Sus scrofa: one gene and its partner. The protein of the gene in region 2 interacts with the protein of the main gene of each other region in a pairwise test. Links are inferred from orthologs where the notes say so. Each region holds a gene or a part of one and is shown on either strand. Other genes may lie near its edges.

Region 1 (4,165 bases), on a different chromosome or scaffold from region 2:
TCTTTCTGTTTCAGGATTCTGATAACTTACTGTTTTAGCAACTGACAAATTTTAGGAGGAAGAGGCCATTACCATTCCCACTTAACAGAAGGGAGAACAGATCTCAAAGCTTTGCCCAGGACACACTGCCAGTGAGTACAAGCTGGACTAGAACCCACATGCATCTGACCTGAGATGTCTGCTACTAATCACTACCTCATTTTGACTCCTTCCCAGGGATAGAAGCTTGGGAAACCCAGAATGTTCTCCAAAATCTGCATCCTATGCTCCCAAATGATGCCTTCAGCTTTATTTAATCTCTCAATTTGTCCATCTGAGGCTTCCTAAAAAGCCAGAGGAGTGAGGAGAAAAGCAGTCTACAGACTAGAGTCCTAAATTTACCTAGGTTTACCAGTTGTCGGTACCGGTAATACCGACAACCTCAGTTTCCATCTATGAAATGGAGATAGTAATACAAACTACCGAATTTTCCCAGTGTTATCTACCAGTCACTCATCAAATCATCCCAGCGCTCTGAGGCTATCTATGAGAGCTTCAGAAATTACACCACTTGTGTGCGGAAACACGGCGAGTCAATCGTACAGCCTAAACGCCAACACTGAGTAGTCGACTCCGAGAAACCAGGCTCGCCCGTGAGGCCCCAAAGCTGCCCCTCGACCCACGGTACCGGTGTGGGCAAAAGGGGCGAGAAGGCAAAGTAAGGCGACAGGAGCGGGGAAACCTCCTGTAGAAGAGGCCTAGGTACACTCACCCTCCAGGATGGCGGGGATGCAGCCGAGCTGCACGGGCGTGGGCTGCTTCAAACCCAGCTGCCGACATTGTTCCACCAGCCACGATGACAGCCCGAGCTCAGCAAAGCCAGCCATCCTCTCAGTCAGCCCGGCACCCCTGTGAGCCGTGCTTCCGGCGCTTGTCGATGACGTCAGGGAAGCCTTCGCGTTTATTGGATCTACCTTTTGCGCGGCTCCACCCTCTGCAGTTTACTGCCATTCCTAGGCTCATTATATCCTTACCATGTTTTCCCCGAGCCCGCAGACTCGAATACAACTACAATTCCCGAGATGCCCTGTGAACGCACGTGCGTCTCCCGCCCCTTTAACTCCTCTTTAAGCTCATTTCCAGGGAGCCGAGTAAACTACATTTCCCGGAGGCTCTGCGGTGGCTCTGTGCTTCCGGCCGACGTGTCCTCAGGAAGAGGAAGGGGTAAGAACACAGCGACATGGCGCCACCGGCACCCGGCCCGGCCTCCGGCGGCTCCGGGGAAGTAGATGAGTTGTTCGACGTAAAGAATGCCTTCTACATTGGCAGCTACCAACAGTGCATCAACGAGGCTCAGCGGGTGAAGGTGGGCTAGGGGATGCTAGGGGCGGAGGCGGGGGCGGAATACGCTTCCTGTTGGCCACGGGTCGTGCTCTGATTTTAAAACCCTTTCTTTCCTCGTCCCGTTTTTCCTCTCACACCTCTTTAGAGCGCGATAAGGAATTATCCCTGTCCCATGACAAAACCCAAAGCAGCAGCAGTTTATGATACTTCTCACTTTGAGCGCTCTTAGCCTGGGAGGCGTTTGAGTAAAAGAGGGGTTTCTTACCGCTATGGTAATAACAATGGCGAGGTTATTACGCTATAGTAATGATAATAGTAACAGTAATTCTTGTTGGTTCAGCGCCCACACTGTGCCGCCATACCCTCAATACCTGTGAAGTAGGGACGTTGTTTATCCTCATTGTCCAGGTGAGAACTCCGAGGCTTTTCGCAATGTCACCCTGTCCCATTAACCAGATTATTTCTCTCCAAACATGCCCATTCGTTCACTCCTCATGGAGTATCTGTATAAGCCAGGCAGAGTGCTCGTGCTGGGCTCAAAGCAGTACAAAATAGACAAAACTCCCAGCTCTCTTGGAAACCTCAGCTCCCAAGGGAGACAGAGAATTAACAAGTTAATAAACAAGATGTCAGGAGATGGTGTGATGGGGAGTGGTGAGGGGGCTTGGCTGTTTGAGGGCTGAAAAATAGAGTCCAGGGCCCAGGCAGTGAGCGGGTGACAGGAGAGGGAGCAGAAAGGACCTTAGGCAGTACTTTTGGGGAAGGGTCACGGATATTACAGTTACTTTGAGAGTGAGCCATTGGAGAATTTTTTTTTTTTTTTTTAAGGGCTGCACCTGCGACATATGGAGGTTCCCAAGCTAGGGGTCTAATCAGAGCTGTAGCCGCCAGCTTACACCACAGCCACAGCAACTCGGGATCTAAGCCTCGTCTTCGACCTACACCGAAGCTCACAGCAACGCTGGATCCCTAACCCACTGAACAAAGCCAGAGATCGAACCCGCAACCTCATGGTTCCTAGTTGGAATCGTTAACCACTGAGCCACGATGGGAACTCCAGGGTTTAGTGTTCTGAAGAGAGAAAGCTTAATTACAACTTGAGCCCTATGGGGGTGAGAGGAGATGAGAGTACTGAGTCAGAAATGGGGGTGGGGGGAGTTCCCACTGTGGCACAGTGGGTTAAGAATCCAGCTGCAGGGGCTTGGGTCACTGCCATGGCTCAGATTCAGTCCCTGGCCCAGGAACTTCCATATGCCGTGGCGCAGCTATAAAATAAAATTGAAAAAAAATTAGAGATGGGGGTGGGAACTGCTTTGCATGAGAGTGGTCAGATCAGGCCAGATCTCTCTGTCATTTGAACCTGAGACTGAACCTTGGGGAAGGATCTAACCCCATAAGTTGCTGCAGAGGTGGCCGAGGCAGGAGTGAGTTCCAGGTGATCAAGGCCTAGGAGGCTGGTATAGCAGAAGTGGGGCAAGTACAGCGGGAGAGACAAAGAATGAGGTGGACAGAGCCTTAGGGGGCGGCAGCAGCAGGGGTTTGGGTTTTATTCCAAACATGTTTGGAGGCCATTGTGGGAGGCCATCGAAGCACCAAGCAGGGGAGTGGCAGATGTCTTCAGAGAGGCACGCAGAGCCTTCGGAGGAAATTGGATTCTGAAGTAGAGAAAGCTTGTTTTCCCTTCTGGCCATTTGCAGGGAACCTCATGTCCCTGAGCATTATCTATGTAATGGGGGTAGAACTCCAAACAGATTTCAGGAAGGTTAGGATTTGCTGAAATAACGTGTGTACAATCATGTTCGCTTTCCATTGCCGCTGTGACAAATTAGCACAAACAATGGCTTAAAAGAGCACACATTTATTATCTCACAGCTTCTGTAGGTCAGAAGTTCAGCAAGGTTCTCGCCAGGCTAACATCAAAGTATTGGTCTGGCTACATCTTTTCTGGAGGTTCTGGGGAGGAATCACCTTCCTAACTTGTTCCAGTTGCTGCCTCTTGACCAGGGGCCACTCTTAGCTCCTAGAGGCTTCTCTCTAGTCCTCAAGCTCGCACATCACCCTTCCATCTCAGAACCAGCCATAAGGTTCTCATGCTTGGAGTCTCTCAGATTTCCCCCTCTCCTTCATCCCTTTAGTCTAAAAGTCTTCTGCTTGGAGCTCCCGTTGTGGCTCCGCAGGTTAAGAACCTGACATAGTCTCCATGAGGACGCACGTTCAGCCCCTGGCTTGGCTCAGTGGATTAAGGATCTGGCATTGCCACAAACTGCAGCATAGGTTGCAGATGCTGCTTGGATCCAGCATTGCTGTGGTTGTGGTGTAGGCCGTCACTGCAGCTCCAATTCAGCCCCTAGCCTGGGACCTTCCGTATGCCGCAGGTGTGGCCCTAAAAAGAAAATAAATAAATAAGTGGTCTTTGCTTTTAAGAGCATCTGTGATTAGACAGGATGTTCCCATGTAACCTAACATAGTCTCCCCATTTTGGGGCTCATAACGTTCATCACACCATTGAAATCCCTTTTGTAATGTCAACTGTTCACAGGTCCCAGGGATTGGCGTGGACGTCTCGAGGGGAGAGAGGGTACAGGGATGTGTGCGTGTCTCACTCTGCTTAGCACCACGGTTATGGGCCTCCACGCTGGGGTAGTGTATGTAGCTCACAAGAAGATTGAGGCATTCCTGGGCTCGGATTCTGGCTCTTCTAGGTTCTCTCTGCAGCCAAGCCTGATTCACTGCACCTCTCTAAGCCTCAGTTTCCCATCCTGTCACATGGGAACAGTGACATTCATTTCAGTAAGGTCTCTGTGAGATTCATTGTTATACTCATGTTCTGCCTTTTGCTTTC
Region 2 (3,794 bases):
TTCTCTCCCACCTCCTGATGAGGATCAGTTTTATACCGTGTATCATTTCAATATCAACGTAGACATTGTCTTATATGGTCGAACCTTCAAGATTTATGACTGTGATACTTTCACAAAAAACTTTTTGAAGAAAATAGGAGTCAAATTAAACCCCCCAGGACAGTGTCCAGAAGATCCTTACATGAAGACCCGGAGAGAGGTGAGTTGATTTGTCCATGGCCTTTTGTCTTCAGGATGAGAATCCCTTTGGAGCCAGTAAAAGGTATTGGTACTTGTGAGGCAGATGTGAACGAGCTTTGGGGGCCATGGTCATTGGAGTTGTCCTGTTTTCCTTTGGGCTGGAGGGAGGCTGGGTGTTGGCGTCAGTGTAGGAAAGAGTCACTCTCTGCCTCCGCCCCCACCTTCCCTCCACGGACAGCCTCCCTGGCAGGCAGTAAGAGTCTGCAGTGAACTGCCCGCATGGGACAGTGTTTCTAAGAGCCCACGAGGGGTTTTGTGGTCACTGACAGTGGAAGAGTTGGGCCCACACGTACCTGGCTTTTCTTACCCCATTTCAGTTGCCTGACCCTGGGATGATTGTTTGCTTCTGTGCTACTGATTTACTGAACCAAGCTTTGGGTATACCTTTTCCCTTCTTCCTCGGGATGCCCCCCCCCCTTTATAGTGGTATCAGACACAGAGATATTCAGGAGTGAGGAGGGCCATGATTCCAATGTACCCCCATGATGACAGGATGCTTGATTTCAAGGTCTGACCCTAGTTAGTGTAGGGAGGGAAGAATCAGTGTTAGTGGTATTATTGTAGTATTTCCAAAGTTGTTTTTTTTTTTTTTTTAATGATCCCTTGGCCCAAATTTTATGTTTAACAGGAGAATCTGAATACTCAGAAGGGTAGGTGTCATGTGCAAGGTCACATACCTCACCAGTCTTCTTGCTGAGACTTGAACACCCATCTCTTGCTTCTTATCCGGATTTTCATTATTGGCATTTGTTTCTCTTTTCTCTTTTCATTGAAGTATGATTATACACAATAAAATACACGGAAAATAATAATACAGTTTAATAGGTCTTAACCAGTGCGTACACCCATGTAAGCCACACTCAAAATCATGATATAGAACATTTCCATTCCCCTAGAAAGTTCCTGCGTGCCTTTTTCCAATCTCTCCTTCTCCTTACCCAGGGATAAGCACTGTTCCCATTTCTATCCCTATAGGTTAGCTTAGTCTCATTTTTATTGTTTCTAAAACTTGTAATTAACTTCTTTGCAGAAAGATAAAATTTAGAATAAAATTCTTCTTTGATTCTGCTTTGATCTCTTGTTAAAAGCTGCACGCAGGATCATTCATCTGTTCCTGCCTCCTAGCCCCAGCAGAATTATCCTTTAATGTTGTAGGCGTACAACCCTCCTGAGAAATATATATTGTTGATCCTGGAATATTGAAGGCAAAATCCTTGTGGCATTATACTTGTGTGTGTTGGCGTGCAAGATTTATGGTTGGGATTCATGTTCATTTTTTTCCAAACGCCCTAGAAGAAAGACTCTAGATAAATACAGAAGTCTTTAGAACTAGCAGAGAGAACCTAAAATAAATGGATCTATACCATTACCACTTTGCATCTGGCTACACTCATTCCCTAACAGTGGTATTACACGATAGTGATTGTGAATGATGATGCATTATATGAAATACATAAAACACTGTGTGGTTTCATAGGTTTATAAAGAAAAAAAAAATCTTTTGTTCCAGGAATCAAGACTAAATACCAAGAGCAGGCAAGAAATGTTTTAAACAATTTCCTTTCAGATTGGGAGAATAATTTTAGTGCTTATTCCCTCAGGGAGAAAGCTCTTCAATAAATACAGAAATCTGTGGAAAATTAGGAGCTTAATAAGAGGCTTTCATATTGACTTTAATGCATTTACTTCTCCAGTGTTTGCTGCCTTGAAATGTAAAGTTAAAATTAAACAATTTAACTTGAACTGAAAAGAGCCTCGACGGTGTATAATCAATAATGCATTTCTTAGAGGCCTTATCGTGCCAAGGAAACATTTTTCAATAGATGAAAGTAGAGATCTTGTGATTTCATTTAAATGTGACGAATAAGACAGAAGAGCCTCTGGAAGGTTATCGTGTCTCCCCCACTGTCTTGGGATTAAGTCTGCACCTAGACTGCCCTGGACAGATAGAAAATTTTGAGAATTTACAAGTAAGGTTACATAACCCAATGTGGGACCACATCTCTCTTGCTAGTCAGCCCTTCTTTATGTAGTGATCCTGTTATGCCACATTAGATAGAATGGGGGCAGTTTTGCTCCAAGATGGAGCTGAGAGTGTGCAGCTAGAGAAGAATTGCACCAAGAAGACCCCAGGCTAGTGGGTCCTGGCTTGGGGGTTGGAGCCCGTGCCCAGTGGCTCCCTGCTGATTGGAACATTCTCCATTTGCTCTGCTCCCGTTTCCATGGCTTTCAGATCCTCGCTATCTAAAGCTTTTGAGCAAAATAAAACCATGAATGTATTTTCTTCCCTTTTTACCTTCACAAAAATCTTTGGATGAGTAAGAAGGATATATATGAATTTTCAGTGAAAAATCTTTTGGTTGAAATAGAATTAACATAGACTCAGATGTCCAAATCTTAAGCATACACACTGACAAGTTTGGAAAAATGTATACAATTTAGTAACCGACACGAAAATCAAGAGAGAATATTTCCATCGCCCCACAGAGTTCGCTCATCCACCTTTCCGACCAATGCCCTACCCAGAGGCAGTAACTCTTCTAATTGCTGTCACCGTGTATTAGCTTTGTCTGTTCTTAAATAAGAATTTTAAGTCTGAGAAAAGGCCATTTTCAAAAACATTGTAGAAATATATTTGAGTGTATTAAAAAACCACTGTGTAATGAAAAGCTTCCTAACACTTGATTGTCTGTATTTCTAAGGTCAAGGCTGGTTATATACGCCTATCATGTATGTTGTTAGTGGGAATTTTTAAAAAATCACAGAATGGTCTATGGACAAAATATCTTTATGTTCTCTGATGGCTTGCATCCCGGAAACAACTGTGGAAAGGCTGCAGCTATCATTAACCCTTTCCCCATTTGCAGAAGCTAGACTGCGTGGAGCCCTTACGCCCCTATGAGTCCTTTGACACCCTCAAACAGTTCCTTGAGTATGACAGGAAGGTTTTGCGCTTCTTCTGCCTGTGGGATGACTCGGGCTCGTTGTTTGGGGACCGCAGAGAACTCATCCTGCATTATTTTCTGTCTGATGATACCATCGAAATCAAAGAAGTGATGCCGCATAACTCGGGAAGAGATGCTATGTCATTGTTCCTCCAGAGGAGAAAGCTACCAAAGGTGAGCAGGCCACACGCGACCACTTTTCTGAGTTTGCCTGTGAAGATTCTAGTCACTCACTGTCTGGAATGTCATGTGTGATGACAAGTTACCATGTATTAGTGCAGGTGTTTGGAAGACTTTTCATTCTGTGCCCTCTATTAATATACATCTATGAAAGTAATACAGGGGATATGACAAACGGGGGGATATTCAGGACATAAGGCAAGTGAAGGAAAAAAGTCAGATGCAAGAGAACTGCCTATTCATCATGGAGTTCACAACGAGTCTTTTGAAGGCAAATGACTGTCTAGTAAAAGGATTGCTCATGAAGTTCCTTTGTGACGCAGTGGGTTAAGGATCGGGTGTTGTCACTGCCGTGGCTTGGGTTGCTGCTGTGACGCTGGTTTGATCCCTGGCACGGGAACTTCCGCATGCCATGGGCACAGTCAAAAG

The links. The genes of interacting proteins can lie anywhere in the genome.
Region 1: the proteins of EFHC2 (region 2) and COPE interact in binary tests that used the Homo sapiens proteins (3 or more experiments, as listed by UniProt). The two-hybrid records come from large-scale screens. The link is inferred for Sus scrofa from reciprocal best matches to the Homo sapiens genes EFHC2 and COPE.

The regions. Positions count from the first base shown.
Region 1 is NC_010444.4:58,929,794-58,933,958, forward strand, and holds the start of COPE (coatomer subunit epsilon), read left to right. Parts: upstream 1-1,135; 5' UTR 1,136-1,219; coding exon 1,220-1,345; intron 1,346-4,165. Other genes in the region: probable ATP-dependent RNA helicase DDX49, read right to left, coding at 752-866. UniProt on the Homo sapiens protein: The coatomer is a cytosolic protein complex that binds to dilysine motifs and reversibly associates with Golgi non-clathrin-coated vesicles, which further mediate biosynthetic protein transport from the ER, via the Golgi up to the trans Golgi network.
Region 2 is NC_010461.5:39,517,505-39,521,298, reverse strand, and holds part of EFHC2 (EF-hand domain-containing family member C2), read left to right. Parts: coding exon 1-199; intron 200-3,107; coding exon 3,108-3,359; intron 3,360-3,794. UniProt on the Homo sapiens protein: Microtubule inner protein (MIP) part of the dynein-decorated doublet microtubules (DMTs) in cilia axoneme, which is required for motile cilia beating.